5 linked regions of the Sus scrofa genome follow. The protein of the gene in region 1 interacts with the protein of each later gene in a pairwise test. Links are inferred from orthologs where the notes say so. Each region holds a gene or a part of one and is shown in the gene's direction. Other genes may lie near its edges. The genes, in order: WIPF1, FASTK, GRB2, ABI2 and WWP2.

Evidence for each region.
Region 2: the proteins of WIPF1 (region 1) and FASTK interact in binary tests that used the Homo sapiens proteins (3 or more experiments, as listed by UniProt). The two-hybrid records come from large-scale screens. The link is inferred for Sus scrofa from reciprocal best matches to the Homo sapiens genes WIPF1 and FASTK.
Region 3: the proteins of WIPF1 (region 1) and GRB2 interact in binary tests that used the Homo sapiens proteins (3 or more experiments, as listed by UniProt). The link is inferred for Sus scrofa from reciprocal best matches to the Homo sapiens genes WIPF1 and GRB2.
Region 4: the proteins of WIPF1 (region 1) and ABI2 interact in binary tests that used the Homo sapiens proteins (3 or more experiments, as listed by UniProt). The link is inferred for Sus scrofa from reciprocal best matches to the Homo sapiens genes WIPF1 and ABI2.
Region 5: the proteins of WIPF1 (region 1) and WWP2 interact in binary tests that used the Homo sapiens proteins (3 or more experiments, as listed by UniProt). The two-hybrid records come from large-scale screens. The link is inferred for Sus scrofa from reciprocal best matches to the Homo sapiens genes WIPF1 and WWP2.

Annotation. Positions count from the first base shown.
Region 1 is NC_010457.5:80,643,662-80,647,637, reverse strand, and holds the start of WIPF1 (WAS/WASL-interacting protein family member 1), read left to right. Parts: upstream 1-1,175; 5' UTR 1,176-1,328; intron 1,329-3,976. UniProt on the Homo sapiens protein: Plays a role in the reorganization of the actin cytoskeleton. Contributes with NCK1 and GRB2 in the recruitment and activation of WASL.
Region 2 is NC_010460.4:6,144,141-6,148,211, forward strand, and holds the start of FASTK (fas-activated serine/threonine kinase), read left to right. Parts: upstream 1-1,256; 5' UTR 1,257-1,715; coding exon 1,716-1,833; intron 1,834-2,018; coding exon 2,019-2,441; intron 2,442-2,875; coding exon 2,876-3,055; intron 3,056-3,156; coding exon 3,157-3,296; intron 3,297-3,763; coding exon 3,764-3,977; intron 3,978-4,071. Other genes in the region: TMUB1 (transmembrane and ubiquitin-like domain-containing protein 1), read left to right, coding at 1-307. UniProt on the Homo sapiens protein: Phosphorylates the splicing regulator TIA1, thereby promoting the inclusion of FAS exon 6, which leads to an mRNA encoding a pro-apoptotic form of the receptor.
Region 3 is NC_010454.4:6,006,717-6,009,604, forward strand, and holds the end of GRB2 (growth factor receptor-bound protein 2), read left to right. Parts: intron 1-1,135; coding exon 1,136-1,304; intron 1,305-2,041; coding exon 2,042-2,227; 3' UTR 2,228-2,379; downstream 2,380-2,888. UniProt on the Homo sapiens protein: Non-enzymatic adapter protein that plays a pivotal role in precisely regulated signaling cascades from cell surface receptors to cellular responses, including signaling transduction and gene expression.
Region 4 is NC_010457.5:106,856,701-106,860,215, forward strand, and holds part of ABI2 (abl interactor 2), read left to right. Parts: intron 1-1,549; coding exon 1,550-1,696; intron 1,697-2,428; coding exon 2,429-2,553; intron 2,554-3,515. UniProt on the Homo sapiens protein: Regulator of actin cytoskeleton dynamics underlying cell motility and adhesion. Functions as a component of the WAVE complex, which activates actin nucleating machinery Arp2/3 to drive lamellipodia formation.
Region 5 is NC_010448.4:17,077,975-17,081,489, reverse strand, and holds part of WWP2 (NEDD4-like E3 ubiquitin-protein ligase WWP2), read left to right. Parts: intron 1-799; coding exon 800-881; intron 882-1,501; coding exon 1,502-1,630; intron 1,631-2,251; coding exon 2,252-2,327; intron 2,328-2,624; coding exon 2,625-2,696; intron 2,697-2,924; coding exon 2,925-3,013; intron 3,014-3,515. UniProt on the Homo sapiens protein: E3 ubiquitin-protein ligase which accepts ubiquitin from an E2 ubiquitin-conjugating enzyme in the form of a thioester and then directly transfers the ubiquitin to targeted substrates.

The DNA of each region.
Region 1 (3,976 bases):
TCACCACGGAAATGGCTGAAAAAGAAAAGCTTACCCAAAGATGGGTTCATTCAGGGACAAAAGTTTGTCATTGAGAAGTTTACCCATGTTACTAAATCTCTTTCCCAGAAGAATTATTGTATCTGTTAAGAGCATGTCAAGGTGCAAAGGTGCACATGGGGACTGGCCTACAAGCAGACAGCCTAAAGTCAAGGATGAAGGGCCTCTTCAAGCTAGGACATCCATTCTGAAGTGCATGTATTCCCACCTGTCCTGCTTTTATTCGAGGGATATACAGCCTTGGTATTTTAACATGAATAAACATGAAAACCATTTTAATGGTTTAACATTTTAACCATGTAATATGATTACATGGTTATTATATCGATCACAATTTGTTGTTCTTTTCAAACACATAGATTCTAACATCTGTGTTGTCTTAGTGTGAGCTTGTGCTTGGATCCTGGAGGTGGCCGCTTTCAGAGCTGGTCAGTAACAGCTCCGGCAATGGCGTAGAACCTCAGGTTTCTCCAACTGTTTGCTGCTGGTGCTACCATATTTGAGGATGTGGGTGGCTGATTAGCTACATCCCTACTAGGAGTGGAACTACTCAGAGAATCCTGCTGGTTCTTGGTGGGGGGACTTGCCTTCTTTCCATAAGACGAGCACTGCTGTCCCCACACAGTGGGCAGAGAGAAAGATGCAGGTGGACCTTGGGTCTTTGTGGGTGCCACTCCATTTTAAAATTCATTTTTTTAAGATGAATTTCAATTTAAGGTGTTTCCAAGCCGGACTCTCTGAGGACAGAGAAGGCCGGGAAAAGTCTTTCCCTCTCTTGGGGTTGCGGGGGGTCGGGTACGGGGGTGGTGATGGCGGTGGTGAAGGGACCCCGACAGCGGGAAGCTGTGGAGTCTTCGGAGGAAAGGGCCCTGGAGCTGGACACCCCTTCCAGTTCCCACCTCTTTGCAAACCCAGGGGAGGGGAAGGAGCGACACAGGAGCCCCAGCTTCCAATCGCCCCATTGCTGCCACGCTCCGTCGAGGCCCTAGGCCGTGGGGCGCAGAGCCTCAGCTCCAGGCAGCGCGGGCGCGGCGCACAGAGAGGAGGCGAAGGGCCGGCAGCGGCCTCGCGGCGCGTCCACATGCGGCGGGGCCGCAGGGGGGGCGGGGGGGACGGGGAGCCGAGGGGGAGGGTTTACATCCCAGCGAAGTTCCCGGATGGTCGCAGCCTCCCGGCGCTGAGCGCTTTTCCTGCCCGGCCGGCTCAGCCCTACGAACCGGGGAGAAGTTTCCCTAAGAAAAATGCCCGGCGCGCCGCAGGGCCCTGGAGCTGCCCGGAGCCGTTGCACGGTAAGGGACGCGCCGCTGCCGCTGCCAAGGGCGCGACCGGGTTCCGGGGACTCAGGGCAGCGCCCGTGGAGACCCTCTAGGCCCCCAGGGACCCCGAGGAGGGCTGGGCTGGGCATCTCGGCTCGGCGCCGGGTGGGCGCGGGCGGGGGCCGCGGGGACGTCGGGGCTGCGTCCGCTGCGGGCGGGGGCGGGCGCGCGGTCTCGGGAGGGGCGGACTCGGGCCCCGCGGCTTGCGCGTCCAGTACCCGCGGGCAGAGAAGGAAGGGGCGGCGGACCGTGAGGGTCCGGACGCGGGCGCCTTCTGGGCTGGGCGCGCCGCTGGGCTCCGCAGATCTCCGGCCACCCGGGGGCTCGGCCCGGCTCCCGGCTTAGGTACCCACGGCAGGGGCTTCGCTGCGATGCGCTGGGGCCGCGTCTACCCCACCCATGACAGGCGAATGGAGACTTTAGGGCACCCCGAGGCCAGTTTCTGCCAGGGAGCTGCCTCTGCTTCTTCTCAGGGGAGTTGTGCCCATCCCGCAACGCGGCTTCCCAGACTCGCCTCCCGCCGGGTGCCCCAGGCTGAGCCTCGCGCTGCGGGCAGTGTAGACGCTTGCGTTAGATGTGTGCGGTGACCTTAAAGGACGTCCAGTCCCCGTCAGCTCTTTTCCCCCCAGGGCCTCTCCGGAACTTTCGGAACGGCTTCACTTCAGTCTCACTCCCTCTACTTTTTCTGTTAACATATTTTTTTTTTCTTCTTTTTTTAAAGTACTGTTAGAGAAAGTTGCAAGCGTAAGAGAAACCAGCTGACCCAATCCGGGCGACCCAAATCTTCAACTCGTGGTTAGACTTTGGACTCCTGGAGCTTAACAAAGGGTGTGTCTGTGAGGAACCGAGCCTGGCCAGGTCCTCTGGTCCTGCTTAATCCCAGAGGAATACATATTCCTTCCTGGGCCACGGGCTGCTGACTTTATCTCAGTTCTCTGGGAAGCCTCTCAAGTTGTCAGCAGTGACTGGGTGGACTTGGTCCCATTTTGTGAAAATTGTGTGACACCGTTGTCCCCTGAATAGTCACTGGATTCCACCCCCAATCACTGGCCGAGTGTAGTCCCAGACTTTAGGCGGTGCAGCCGCGGAGCCGCTGGACCGAATCCCACCCTGGGTGGGTTTTCTTTTGCCAGTTTCCCAAGGCAATTCCAAAACAATACTGTAGCTTCATTTTGAGTCGTTGGCATATTTTTCCTCCTCAGAAAAAGCCTTTTTCTGTTAACGGTTAAAATAACTCCAAAGAGTTTTCATTTTCAGTTTTTATGAAATACCCTTGGACTTCTGGAGGTGAGAAAATCAGCATAGGCCATTGGCATTTGCATCTTAATTCCTCTTTACAGTGCTCACAAGACTGCTTTCTCCTCTTGTGTATCTTGACTCATCTGTCATCTTCACAGGGCTGAGTCTCAGGGACCAAATCCCCAGCTACCTGTAGCAGCCCATTACCCGTTGAGTGGAATTGTGCAGACTGGACTTTGCAGTGGTTATTAGACTATTCTAGTAACCTCATCATCTTTTTTGGCTCCCTGAGCAGCACAAAAACTCTTAGGTTTTTGTGATGTAGAGCAAAAAGATTTGTAAGCAAGGTAAGATCAGATGTGGGTTCATTTAGAGACAGTGAGATTATTTCCAGCTGTAGAGATTCATGCCTTTCATTTGTTTGTTCATTTCACCAATTAAGTGTCACTTTCTGGTCCTTTAGGCATATCATGTGTATTGTGCAACTTGAGCCTCACTTATCCAAGAAATGGAGTTGATAACCTTTGCCCTTTCTCCATCTCATCCTGTGAGGATCAAGTGGGATAATGGTGTGTGAAGCAGCAAAAAGCAGCACAGCACAAGGCATTAGAGGGGCACCATGCAGTATGTAGCACCATGACATGAGAGCAATAAAGAGCTAAAGGAGGGGAGTTCCCGTCTCGGCTCTGCAGGAACAAATCCAACTAGTAACCACAAGGTTGCAGGTTCGAGCCCTGGCCTTGCTCAGTGGGTTAAGGATCCTGTGTTGCCGTGAGCTATGGTGTAGGTTGCAGATGGGGCTCTGATCTTGTGTGGCTGTGGCATAGGCCAGAGGCTACAGCTCTGATTCTACTCCTAGCCTGGGATATGCCGTGGGTGTGGCCGTAAAAAGCAAAAGCAAAAAAAAAAAAAAAAAAAAAAAAGAAGCTAAAGGAGTGGGACAGGGCTGGTGGAGAGAAAGTGGTATCCCTTTACCTGTTAAACTTACTGTCTCAGTTGCTTTGCTCAGGGATGAGCCTGCTTTTGAGGGGAGTATTCATCCCTGGCTCTATGTCACAGTCTTGGTTATTTCAGGGTGTTCTTAACTATGGATAGGACTTCTACAGTGCACATCAGGAGAACAGAAGGCAAAGTACCTTTTTGGTTGTTGCTGTAGCCCCTTCACTTTAAGCATCTGATATTTAGGACTCTGCCTCCCAGAGCCATCGTCTTCCTGAAGCCTGAGGTCTACCAAATTCCTAATGATTTTCATACAGAGGTCTCTGCCACTGTGACCAACATTCCACAGTGATGCCACAGTGATGCCACAGTGCTGGAAGGTTTGGTAGGCTTATGCCTTGTGAATAACCAGGACCCACATATGTGAATCAGGTCACAGTTGA
Region 2 (4,071 bases), on another chromosome or scaffold:
AGGGCAGCTGCTAGGAGACGACACCCAGACCCTGGGCAGCCTTCACCTCCCTCCCAACTGCGTTCTCCACTGCCACGTGTCCACCCGGGTGGGTCCCCCACACCCACCCTGCCCACCGGGGTCAGAGCCAGGCCCCTCCGGGCTGGAGGTAGGCAGCCTCCTGCTGCCCCTGCTCCTGCTGCTGCTGCTGCTGCTCTGGTACTGCCAGATCCAGTACCGGCCCTTCTTTCCCCTGACAGCCACCCTGGGTCTGGCCGGCTTCACCCTACTCCTCAGTCTCCTGGCCTTTGCCATGTACCGCCCGTAGTGCCTCCACGGGCTCTTGGCAGTGTCGCTGGCCCCTCCGGACCTTGCTCCCCACGACACGGTGGGAGCTGCTGTCTGCCCCGGCCGGCCTCTCCCACTTGCCTCTTCCCACTACCCTGGAGCCCAGCCCTGCGCCGCAGAGCGCTCCGGGGGCCGGCGGAGGCCCCTCCCTGTGACCTTCATGGCTCTGGGCCACCTTCTGGGGCTGCTGGCCCTCAGCCCCCACGGACAGTCAGCTCCTCCGGGTCAGACAGCTGCTGTCGCTGCCTCGGCCCTGGGCAGAGCCCGGCCACGCCCCTAGGCCCTTCTTAGTGTTCTGCCTGAAAACCCAGCCACCTCTAGTCCCTGAGAGCATCTTGAGCTGATTTAGGGACCCAAGGACGGGAGCGTGGGTGGGAAGGAGGGGGTTCTCTGGAACATGTGCAGATTAAATAACTGTGAAGTTTTCACTCTTGGTGTGTGCCTGCCTGTGTGGGCCCGTGGGGCAGGGAGCTCCTGCCCACTGGGAGAAAGACGGTAGAACGCGGGATCCGCAGCCGGACGGTCCTAGGTTCCGTGCTGGGCGCTCCCACTTACCAGGCACTTCGCCCTGCCCAACCTGCCCAGGCTGGCTGCCGACTTCCCCTCTGCTTTTCGCTGCATCCTCGGCTCCTCGCCCTTGGGCTCCGCCCCGCTCCTAGTCCCGCCCCCGCCCCGGAGCCGCGCGCGCAGCTTCCCAGAAGCAGGGGGCGGGGCGCGCGGCACCCTGGCGCGCGGGGCCTGACGGGAGCCACGTCTCCGCTGGCGGAGGACCGTGCCGCGATTGGCGTCTGGGCGGCGATCCGGGGGCTGCTGGGAAGATGGCGGACTCGGTGGCCCGCCGATGAGGAGGCCGCGGGGGGAGCCCGGCTCTCGGGCCCCGAGACCGACTGAGGGAGCGATCTGCGCGGGGCCCGGGGAGTCATGTAGGGGTGGCGCCTGAGGGGCGGGCTGCGGGAGGGCGGCGGGAGTTGGCGTTGGTGGCCGTGACTACGGTCTCCTGGCATCCCCTGGCCGGGTGGGTGTGGGGCCCCCTGACACCACCGACTCCGCGCCATAGCAAAGCTGCGCCCTCCGAGGTGGGCGCTGCGTTCTCGTTTCACGGGCGAGGAGGCTTGGGCAGAGAGACGAAGCCACTTGTCCAAGGTCACGCAGCTGGTAAGTGGGAGCGCCCAGCATGGAACCCAGGACCGTCTGGCTGCGGATCCCGCGTTCCACCCTCCGTGCCGCCGCCGCCGCCTCCTACGGGAGGGGGAGGTGGTCGGGAGGGCGTATCGTTGGGGCGAGCTGGGCTCCAGGCTGAGCGCGACCACTAACCAGATGCGTGACCTCGGGCTTAACTTAACCCCTTCGCCTTTCTGGGCCTTGGTTTCTCCACCTGTGAAAGCGAGATGATGCTGGCCCTGCCTGCCTTCTCACAGGAGGATCAGAGGAGAGCATGTATGTGGCGTTGCTTTGTGAATATCCCTACGCCGAGAACACTGAAGGATTCGCTTGCTGTCTCAAAGGGTAGAAGGAGGCAGAGAGGTGCGGGTGGGGTGGAGGACCAGCGTAGCCACAAAGAAGGGCGAACCTGAGTCTGGGTTGCTCCGACCCCAGGCCCCTCTGGATGGGGAGTGTGAGGTGAGGAGCAGAGAGCTGGCCTTTCTCCCCTTTGGAGAATACCTCACCCCCTTTTCTGGGCCACCCCTCAGGGTCTCCATCACCCAACTCCATGCTTCGAGTCCTGCTCTCTGCCCAGGCCTCCAGCGCTCGGCTCTCTGGCCTGCTGCTGCTCCCGCCAGTACAGCCCTACTGTCTGGGGCCCAGCAAGTGGGGGGACCGGCCTCCTGGAGGAGGCTCCCATGTAGGCCCTGTGCAGGGGCTGCAGCGGCTTCTGGAACAGGCAAGGAGCCCTGGGGAGCTGCTGCGCTGGCTGGGCCAGAACCCCACCAAGGTCCACGCCCACCACTACCTTGTGGCACTTCGTCGCCTGGGTCAGCTCTTGGGGTCCCAGCCACGGCCCCCTCCCGTGGAGCAGGCCACACTACAGGACTTGAGTCAGCTCATCATCCGAAACTGCCCCTCCTTTGACATTCACACCATCCACGTGTGTCTGCACCTCGCAGTCTTACTTGGTGAGGAGGGTGTCTGGGGGTGGGTGTTAATGGAGAGGAGAGAACGGTAGAGGACCCAAGATCACTGACAGAACCCACCTTTCAGGCTTTGCCAGGAACGGCACATTCACTGCGGCTTAGCTGGGGTGCCACTCCAGCTCCCTTCTAGTGCAGTGTTCTAGGAAGCCTCTGCCACTTGTCACCATTGGCAAGACATGAGAACTTACTTGCCATCTTTGTATAAGGCCTTACCCTCCGTCTGTTCTGATACCTTAGTTCATGTGGTTTTTTGCATTTCTCCAGCATGTCCACACATGTACATTCTCTATAGCAAACCTTCCAGCCCAGGAAATGGAGGTGAAAGGGTGGGGAATTCACTAGCTAGACTCCAGGACTGGAGCAGAGCAGAGCAACCCCGTTGCCAGGCCTGCCTCCACTGACCCTCTCCCTCTCAGGCTTCCCATCAGATGGGCCCCTGGTGCGTGCCCTGGAACAGGAGCGCAGGTGCCGCCTCCATTCGAAGCCGCCTCCCTCTCCGCAACCTGTCCTTCATGGTGGGCAAAGGTTGGAAGCTGCTTTGAGCTGCCCCCGTTTCCTGCGGCATCCACAGCAGCACCTCATCCGCAGCCTGGCAGGTGCCGGAGGGGGTTAAGGTTGATGGGCGGAGGGGAGCTAAGGAGGAGGCAGGTGGTGGTGTCCGGCCTTAGGGTCCAGCTTAAGAGGCTGTTCTTCACAGAGGCCAGGCCAGAGGAACTGACTCCCCAAGTGATGGTGCTCCTGGCCCAGCACCTGGCCCGCCACCGGTTGCGGGAACCCCAGCTTCTGGAAGCTATTGCTCACTTTTTGGTGGTCCAGGAAGCCCAGCTCAACAGCAAGGTGGGACCACCTCCCACCTTCACGGCTCCTCTCCCAGTCATCCTCAGACACCCCCTCAGGCCAACACCCCCCACCCCCATCCGGCTTGATGGGCAGCTGCTTCCTGCAGCAGGCAGCCCCCACTAGGCCCTCTGCTCTGTGCGGTGGGGTTCCTTCTTTGCCCACACCCTCTTTGGCTTGTCCACCTCCCCAGCTCGTATGCCTGGTTTACTGCCGTCTTCCAAACACTCTTACCCCTGACCTAGCTGCCTTCATGGCAGATCCCACAGCTGTGTCTCCTGCGTTTGGAGACTAATCACGTGGGACTCAAGCACTGCTTACGCTGCGGGACTTCTGGTGTGTATGTAGAGGGGCTGTCCTGCCTTCACGGTGACGTCCTAAGCTTGCAGCCACGCCTCCCTGAGGTTCAGCTTGTGAAGGATGTTGAAACCTTTCCTGCTGGGTGATGGGCTGCTTTTGCTCCACAGGTGGTCCAGAAGTTGGTCCTGCCCTTTGGGCGGCTGAACTACCTGCCTCTGGAAGAGCAGTTTATGCCCTGCCTCGAGAGGATCCTGGCTCGGGAAGCAGGGGTGGCCCCCCTGGCAACTGTCAACATCTTGATGTCACTGTGCCAGCTGCGGTGCCTGCCCTTCCGAGCCCTGCGCTTTGTCTTTTCCCCAGGTTTCATCAATCACATCAGTGGTGCGGAGACTGGAGGGCTGGCTGGGTCCCAGGGGGCCGGGGGCCGGGGGGGCCAGCAGGGTGGGGTCTGCAGCCCAAGAAGCCTCGCTCCTGC
Region 3 (2,888 bases), on another chromosome or scaffold:
TGTTTCTAAGCGCTTCCTACTCGTGGCTTCCTTAAAGCTCAGTGCTGCCACCTGCTGGGTTGTTTTTAAGACGCGTTAATGCCTTAAAACCAATGGCAGAAGAGAGTCCTCCGCTCGTTTTGCAGATGGTTGTAGAGTGCCTTGTGAGGGACGGGCAGCGCCTTGGTGGAGCTGATGTGCTGGGCCGACAGCACGGTGTCTGTGGGCCGGCCCACTCAGCCAGGCTCGGGCTGGTTTTCTGGGCCAGCGTGAAAGGTGGCATTTACCGCTTTACCAGGTGGTAGAGGGGAGGGGGTAGGAGGTGCCTGGGCCTTTTTAGTGTCCCAGCATGTTTTGTTCTGAGATCTTCTCCCCACAAGTAGACCTAAAATCCTTGAGCAGAAAACAGGACTTTTCGGAGTTCCTGTCGTGGCTCAGTGGAAACAAATCTGACTAGCATCCATGAGGACACAGGTTCGATCCCTGGCCTCACTCACTGGGTTAAGGATCTGGTGTTGCTGTGAGCTGTGGTGTAGATCACAGATCCGTCTTGGATCCGGCATTGCGGTGGCTGTGGTGTAGGCTGGTGGCTATAGCTCAGTTTGACTTCTAGCCTGGGAACCTCCATGTGCTGCAGGTGCAGCCCTAAAAAGACAAACAAACAACAAAGAGAGAGAGAAAAGAAAATATGGCTTTAAACCTTTCCTAGGTACAGGAAAATCGCTAGAAGTATGTCCCATCCCTTCTCACCTTATTTCCTGTCCTGTCTCTTGTAGTCTCTTTAAATATCATACAAGATTTTAGTCCTTTTATCTTTTGGTACAGGGCAGGGAGCGGCTTCCACAGGTTAGGACATTTCTCTTTTTTATTTGCAAACTTCTTCAGAATTAGTCTGACAAGGTTTCTGTGTCTGGAGAGGTGTCTTCATGTTGACACTGGTCATTGTCGGCCGAAACGGAGGGGTCAGGGCGCTTGGTGACTGTCCTGCCTCTCCAGCCAGCCGGTCAAGCTGTGCTCCAGCCCCGGGCCCTCAGGCTGTGCGGGGCGCGGCCAGAACATGAGTTCTCCCAGGATGGCTCCTTGCTCGGCAGGTGGCCCCTGGCAGCCAGGACAGAGCCCTGGGACCTGTTCTCACTGTGTCCTCTGCCCTCCCCAGGTTTGGCAATGATGTGCAGCACTTCAAGGTGCTCCGGGACGGCGCTGGCAAGTACTTCCTCTGGGTGGTGAAGTTCAATTCTTTGAATGAGCTGGTAGATTATCACAGATCTACATCCGTCTCCAGAAACCAGCAGATATTCCTCCGGGACATAGAACAGGTGCCACAGGTGAGCTTCGTAAGGGAGAGATGGGGGTCCCTTTTATCAGTGAAGGGTGGCGCCTCAGGCCAGCAGGTGTTCTTTCAGAGGGTTTACCTCTGGGCCTTTTTTGCTCCTTATCCAAAATGTTATCCTTAATTCGTGTTAAAGATTTGAAGTTTGAAACAAAAAAATAATAGTCTTGCCCCCTCCAGAGGCTGCTTCCCTGAAGCCGTGGGTCTCTAAGGTACACTTGAACACACCCTCAGGTAGCCGTTCCCTGGCACTGAGCTGCGGGGAAGATCAGGCGTGTGAGGGGCGGGGTCCCCTCAGTCCTGTGTTCGCTGTCCTGTGTTCTGGTGGGCACCACCGCACTTCATTCAGGCTCTTAGCCTCTGACCATAAAACCCGAAGGATTTTATAAGTGTTAAGGTGATAGGAAGTAAAACTTTTGCACCTCTGGGATTGTAAACGAAGCCCCACTGGCTGTTTCTGAAGTTCTCTCCCCTTAAAGCTGAACTTGCTGCCCTCTGCTCGATGCCCTGCACAGCTGGCCACCCTGGGTACACTCTCGTGTTGCTGTGGCTGAAAGAGTCCGCCCACCCGGGGTCCACCAAGGCTCTGGAAGAACTGGTGGAGAGGGGAGGCGGAAGGAGGGGTTATTTCAGGTCATGTGGCAAGGCTGGCACGCCTCGGGTTCCCGTCACCAGCGCGAGGGGCTGGCCGCCGTCGGGAATGCAATGTGTTTTCTCCCTGCCTCTCTGCAGCAACCGACATACGTCCAGGCCCTCTTTGACTTTGACCCCCAGGAGGATGGTGAGCTGGGCTTCCGTCGGGGAGACTTTATCCACGTCATGGATAACTCGGACCCCAACTGGTGGAAGGGGGCTTGCCACGGGCAGACCGGCATGTTTCCGCGCAATTACGTCACCCCTGTGAACCGGAACGTCTAAGAGTCAAGAGAAGATTATTTAAAGAAAATGAAGAATTTTAAACACGTGCAAAAGAATTAAACCCATGAGCTGCCTCTAACAGCAGCCTGTGAGGGAGCTCGGAACCCCTGGCTGGGTCACCTGGTGACCCTCTCACTTCGGTTGGAACTCGGGGGGGTGGGCGGGGGCGTTGGATATAATGCCAAAACTTACCTATAAATTAAGAAGAGTTTTTATTACAAATTTTCACCGCTGCTCCTCCTCCTCCTTTGTCCTTTTTTCATCCTTTTTCTCTTCTGTCCATCAGTGCATGACGTTCAATGCCGCATATAGTCCTAGCTGTTGCCAATAATAAAAGAAAAGAAACCACGTGGGCTGATATTTTCTCTATGCAAAATGTCTGTTTTAGCTGGAACAACAGAAAGAAGAACAGCCGCTTCCATGTCCCGCCTGTGCACTCGGACAGCGGGCGGGAGCGGGAGGCCCGTGCTGCTCAGCTTCTGCCGGGGGAGCGGGGGGAGCAGGGCCGGCCCCCTCCCAGCCCACCCCACGTGTGGACGTGGACTGGGGTGGCGGAGGGGGTGGCGCCCCTCGGGGCTTCCTGCAGGCCGGGCCCTAACCTGTGTCCCTTTCCACGTGGTTTTCCCTCCAAGTGGTGTTTTGAGCATGTTGTTTTTCATAG
Region 4 (3,515 bases), about 26 Mb from region 1:
TTATTTTTTCGGTCGCCTGGAGGCATATGGAATATTTTAAATCCAAGGTTCTGACCTTCATTTTTCTTTCTTTGACCCAGTGTCTCATTTAGTGCCCTGATTCATTTTTAATAATGTGTGTATTTGTTTATGCCAGATTTTGATGGTAATAGAACAGACACGGTCATTGCAAAGTGACCTCATTCCAAATCAGTGAGCCAGCCCTTGAGTGGCCCAGAACAGTTTAAAGGAACCTGGGGAGCTTTTGGGAAAGTGAATTATAATTATTACTTTTTTTTTTTGGTCTTTTTGTGTATTTTAGGGCCATACCCACGGCATATGGAGGTTCCCAAGCTAGAGGTCCAGTAGGAACTGTAGCCGCTGGCCTATGCCACAGCCATAGCAACGCAGGATCCAAGCCGCATCTGCGACCTACACCACAGCTCATGGCAATACCAGATCCTTAACCCACTGAGAGAGAGGCCAGGGATCTAACCTACATCCTTATGGATCCTAGTCAGGTTTGCTAACTGCTGAGCTACGACGGGAACTCCAGGAGAGTGAATTATTGAGAAATACATAAGTCAAGTGAGTAATGTCATTTTAGGAGAAGAAGAGTCTTTAATTTTCACATGTTGAAATCCAGTTTTGTTTTTTTTTTAAAGACCAGAATCTCATCTATACAGTATCAGTTTCATGTCAGAGTGTTTGTCATAAAAAATTTGGAAATGTAAAGATGAGAACTAACTTAAATAATCACTAGTGTTCCAGTGTGTATCCTATTTCCTATCATATTTCCTTTCTTGTTCTTCTCATTCTCTTCTTTTAAAAGGGAATTTTGAGGGGAAAAAAAGGGAAATATGCTAATGAAATCCAGTTTACTTTGTACTTTACAGTTCAAAGTAAATAAGGTAGAAAGACTTAGGTGACTTTTTATTTCTTCTCTCCCTTTTGAATATTGAACTCTGAAGAGGGTAAGGGCAGTCAGGGTGGAAGTTGAAGGAGGATGTGAAGAGAGAATGGAGAATGAGATTCCATTGTTTATTTCTCTGTGTGGAGATACAGTTTTATTTCTGTGTACTAGCTGTATACAAAAGGAATTGAATTGTTGTTGCTCTTGATCATCAGTGTGGGGGTTGTGGAGCCAAATTCTAAATTTATTTACCTTACTTTTTGAATACTTTTGGTTAGGGAGAGAGGGGGTGAGGAAGACAATTAGTGCATTCGTACAGTGCAGTTGGGAGAATTTGATTTGGCACTAAAATACTTTGAACGTATCTTAGAAGAGAGTCTGGGAAACATTGGCCTACCAGGTGGGAGAATCTTCATGCTCTCAGAATGAGTGAACAAAATTGCATTGGCACAGGGAAATGAGGTCAGAGACTAAAAAATAACAGTAGCATCAAAACCCTAATGGTGAGGTGATACTTATACTGAAATTGGTAGCTGGGTTTTTTTAAAACACATTTTACTATCTCTCGAGTACAAATTGTATTTCACTACTGGCAACTCTGAATTTATTGTGCCGAAACTTGCTAATCACACGCTACATACGCTCTTCTTTTTGTAGGCGGCACTCCCCCTATCGCACACTGGAGCCAGTGCGTCCTCCAGTGGTACCAAATGATTACGTACCTAGCCCAACCCGTAATATGGCTCCCTCGCAGCAGAGCCCTGTGAGGACAGCTTCTGTGAATCAAAGAAATCGAACTTACAGGTATTTTCTCTACCTCAGCGCAAAATGTGATGGTCATAGTACCATAATTTGTTTAGATAACTTCAGTTAAACCTTTCTCATTTTCCAAGCACTAAGTTCTTTTCCTCACTCTACTCCTCCAAACCTCATCTGATTCCACCTCTCTCTCCTCATGTTCTGATGCAAATTTGAGCAATCAGCAAGTTGAAAAAGAACAAACCTTTCAAAGTGCAAACTCCTTTACAAGATCGATAGTTTTAGTTGACCCGAAAAAAAATTGTGGACCGGATGTGGGAAATTTCAAGTTGTTTTTTGGTGGAACTTTACAGATGAAAAACTATACGCAATAAAACACTAGTATGGGGTAGTCGTGATGTTGCAAATAAAATTAATCAAATAATCTGTTTAGGAAAACTTTTTATTATAAAAAAGATTCCTCAGGCAGCCATTTTAAACTGGAATGAAAGAAAGGAGTATTATTTTTCTGTGTTGAGCCCCATCATTTGTCACTTACATTGATGGAGAATTTTTTTTCTTTCCCAACTTCTTTAATACATACTCGTTAAAAGGTATCCAAAACAAGTTTTTTTGAACTCGGCTTTTCCCTTTACTCTGTTAAGGAATTCATATTTGAAGTGAAAGACTTTGGAATTATCATCGTATAGCTATATTCATTTCAGAAAATTTTGGAAAATGCTGGTGATACCTTACCATATATAAATGCTCATGGTTTGGTGGCTCTTATTCCTTTAGCAGCAGCGGGAGTAGTGGAGGAAGCCATCCAAGCAGTAGGAGCAGCAGTCGGGAGAACAGTGGAAGTGGGAGTGTGGGAGTCCCCATTGCCGTTCCCACCCCCTCTCCACCCAGTGTCTTTCCAGGTAAAACATGCATTGTGCTTCATCATCACCTCTCCTTTTGGAGTCTTGAGTTGAGTTTCTGATTTAATTACAGTGGGTTTTCTTCATAATTGGATTTTTTTTTTCCCTTTAAGAGTCTAAATGTTGAGAAATCTTTATCCATTTGTTATTTTAGCCAAGTGATTTGTAAGTTTGTTACAAACTTCTCTGTTATTTGGTTTAATGTATTTGGTGCTATGGCTGAGGTGGTGCTTTGAGGTTTCAGATACCACCTTGGAATGAGTTACGTGTTTAATTCCAGCTGGTGTTATGACAGTGCATGCCTTTGGACACAGTGGGCACCCAGTGTGAGGATCAGATTGGTAACCAAGGATTGGACAGATATAATTAACTAGTTAAATTTAGCTGACTCTGGAACTTAATAATCACTGAAATGCTACCCGCTTTTCTCTGAAACAAAATAATGTATGGCTATACCACCCTGAATGCACCCGATCTTATCTGAAACAGAGAAATGTACTTGTTTAATTTGAGGACTCACAGTTAAAATTTAGTTTTTAAAACATGACCCAAAAGACATTAAGGATAGGATATTACATATTTAATTTGCTTTAATAACAAATAGATAATATCTTTTTAAAAGTCATGAAAAGGAGATTTGTATTTTTCTAAATTCTTTTTTACCAATAAGATGTTTATGTCTGGATACATGTTTAGTTTCTGATTCGTGTAAATCAAAATGGAATATGGTTTTTTTTTTTTTTTTTTTGTCTTTTTGCCATTTCTTGGGCCGCTGCTGTGGCACATGGAGATTCCCAGGCTAGGGGTCGAATCGGAGCTGCAGCTGCCGGCCTACACCAGAGCCACAGCAACTCGAGATCTGAGCTGCGTCTGCAACCTACACCACAGCTCACGGCAACACTGGATCCTTAACCCACTGAGCAAGGCCAGGGATCGAACCCGTGACCTCATGGTTCCTAGTC
Region 5 (3,515 bases), on another chromosome or scaffold:
TCTCTCCCTCGAACAACCCAGAGCCATCGTGAGTCCATTGGGGCTAGAGGTAGATACTGTCCCGAGGAGATCAGAGCTGTGTCTGAGCTCCCAAACGCTGCCCCGTCTCGAAGCACGCACTTAGGTGTAAGGCCGAGATGGCATTGTGCGTGCCTACAACCCCAGATGTGGATTTGCGCATAAGCAGCATAGAGGTTTTGTTAGGATGTGGGAGCTTTAGGACAAAATTTTGCCTTTAAGCCGGAGGGGACATAGGCCCGGTGGTGCAGAGCGCTGATCGGAGAGGCATGAGGGGAAATGCAGCCACCCCACAGTGACCCTGCCTGTGAGACAGGCACCCGGGTCACTGCATCCAGTGGGCGGAGCGGTTGCAGGACCAGAGAGCAGCAGCGATGGACTGGGGTGGGGACCCGGGTTGAGGGGAGGCTGGGCTGTGCCTCCACTTTGCACACAGCTGGTTGCAATTACGCCTCTGGGTTCAGCTGGGCTGCCCCCCCTCGTGTTGCCACACCACCCCCTTCTCTCCCGCAGACCCACCCACCGAAGACGGTGCTTGATCTTGAGTTGAAAACGTGTCTATCCCTCCTCCCCAGAAAGGAAAGGGCTCCTTGTCCTTTTTGCCAGTGACGGATATGAGAGCCAGGCTCTGGGTGGTTAAACTTCTCTGACAGCTTGGGACCAGGAGCAGGCATTCAGAGCCAGCAGCCGGGAGGCGGGAGCCAGAGGGGAGAGGGATGTGGGCTCAAGATGTCTCAATCTGAGCGTCTTTTCCTTTTTTTTCTTTCTTCTCCTCTGGCAGAGAAGAGACAGGACAATGGACGGGTGTATTACGTGAACCATAACACACGCACTACCCAGTGGGAGGATCCTCGGACCCAGGGGTAAGGACTCACACCAGGAGAGGTCTGAGCTGGGCCCCTGTGCAGCTCTAGCCCTGGCCCAGGAGCCTGCATGCGTCCTCCATGGCCGATGTTCTGGGACCCTTAGCCACACACGGGTGCCCCGAGACCCTCACGATCTGATGTCTGCCCAGTGAGAGCTTGTGAGTGGCACCTTAAATTGACCTTCCTTGTGGACAGAGAGTGGCCTGGTGGGCAGGTGTTGCTGGTCTCTGTACCAGCTGTGCAGGCTGCCGATTGTGTGATTTCAGAAGGGCCGAGAACTTCCCCCTCATCCTAAAACTCTGTTCTTCCCAGCCTCCCAGAAGCTAGTCTGGGAGAGGGGTACTTGGTGTCCTGGCATTGTTGGTAGATGCTCAGACCACGGCCATCCACCCAGGGCTGGTTCTTTGGCTTTGGGACAATAGATGGCCTCTCTCTGCTGCAAAACTGTCCTCAGGGTTCAGGCATTGCCAAGTGCATTTGCTCAAGGCCCACCTTCAAGGGCTCAGCAGGGCCTGGGAAAAGCAGAAATAAAGCAGCCCTGTGGGACCCCAGCCTCCTTAGCCTGGAGGCCCAGCAGGTGAAATTTGCCTTCAACCCCTCTCTTCCCATGTTGCCAGGATGATCCAGGAGCCAGCTCTGCCTCCGGGGTGGGAGATGAAGTACACCAGCGAGGGGGTGCGTTACTTCGTGGACCACAACACCCGAACCACCACCTTTAAGGATCCTCGCCCCGGGTTTGAGTCTGGGTAAGGACCTGGCACAGGTGATACCCCGCTCTGTTAGCTCAGGCCGGGTCCAGCTGTTCTCACTGCCCTCTAGCGGCCAACTTTGATGTCACACTTTTTTTTTGGTCTTTTTAGGTCTACACCAGAGGCATATGGAGGTTCCCAGGCTAGGGGTCTCATTGGAGCTGTAGATGCCAGCCTACACCACAGCCACAGCAGTGCCATATCCGAGCTGCGTCTGCGACCACACTGTAGCTCACGGCAGTGCCAGATCCTTAACCCACTGAGCGAGGCCAGGGATCGAACCTGCATCCTTGCGCATGCTAGTCAGATTTGCTTCTGCTGAGCCAGGATGGGAACTCCTGATGTCACCCTTTAATCAGTGTGAGTGGGGAGAGGGAAGGGGCTCCTTTGTTCAGAATAACACTGGCGGTCTTTCTCTAAAAGCAAGAGGTCTGGCTTTGTTTCTATTTTTTTCGTTTGAATCTTCAAATCTGCAGATGGTCTTAATGGCAGTCACTTCCTTTCTCTTACGCCTACTTCGCTCATCTTTAAATTAACGTGGCATCAGCTTTCCTTAGGGCTAACAAGATATGTTTTTGAGAAACCCCATGGATTCCCGAGCATCTTTGCTCTTCCTAGGACAAAGCAAGGTTCCCCTGGTGCCTACGACCGAAGTTTCCGGTGGAAGTATCACCAGTTCCGCTTCCTCTGCCACGTGAGTTCTGGTAGTAGGGCTCCCAACCCCCCAACCCCTGAAATTATAGTTTCGGCCCAATTTCTAGCCCAGGAGCAGGCGCTGGAATGCCTGTGTCTTAGGTGGGAGCCGGTCACTCATCTCACCCAAGGGGTTATGTGACATTATCTCCAGGAAGCCGGCTTCCTTTCCTAGGGCATCAAGTTGTTCCTTCTTGGCCCAGGGTGGGTGGGGAAGCCTATTCAGACAGACAGGTGATCAGGCGGAAGACTTGCCACCAAGGCCCCAGCTGGAGGTTTGTTTCTCTTTTCTTTTCAGTCAAATGCTCTCCCCAGCCACGTGAAGATCAGCGTCTCCAGGCAGACACTTTTTGAGGATTCTTTCCAACAGGTTAGAGAATAATCTTCATGTCTGAAACCAGAGGGCCGGCAGAAGGCCCCCTCCTGCAACCCGTCTTCTGTCATGTGGCCTTTTAAGCCCATAGAAGTAGAATTTTCAAGGCGTGGTCCACGGTGACCGGTATCTGCCGAAGAGCAGGCCTAGAAGTCCCCCGTCCCCTGCCCCCGGCCTGCCGTGGACTGGAGAGTGGCAGGCTGGCTCAGTCTTCTATCTCCCCAGATCATGAATATGAAGCCCTACGACCTGCGCCGCCGGCTCTACATTATCATGCGCGGCGAGGAGGGCCTGGACTATGGAGGCATCGCCAGGTGAGCTGGGTGCCCCTGGAGGGCTGTGCTGCACCCCACTTCCCCGGGGCCGCAGAGCCCATGGCTGGAAAGCTGCCTCCTCCCTTCTCAGACAGTTGCCAGAGCTCCCCTGCACCTGCAGGAGTGGGCACGGGTGTGGCGGGTCTGAAGGGGTGCTGGAGCAGGGTCTTGGGGTCCCCTGCTGGGCTAGGCATCAACCCTGTAGTTACCGGGTCATGGGGAGGCTGAGGGGCTTTGTGGGGAGGGGCTCACTCAAGACAGTAGCTCTACCCACCAACATCATTATGTCTGTATTTCACCCAGTCCGTCTGACCCGTGGGCAGGGGAAAAATACCGGTGTTGAGTGGTTGTCCATGAAAGCTGACCCTGGGCCTCACTTCCTCTTGAGGCAGCCGGGGCATGCTGAGTTGGGAGTCATGGTATGTACCTGCCGTGCATAGGCTGTGTCACCCTCCAGAGGGCATTGATCAATACCCAGCTGTAGGTCATGTGCACAAGGTCA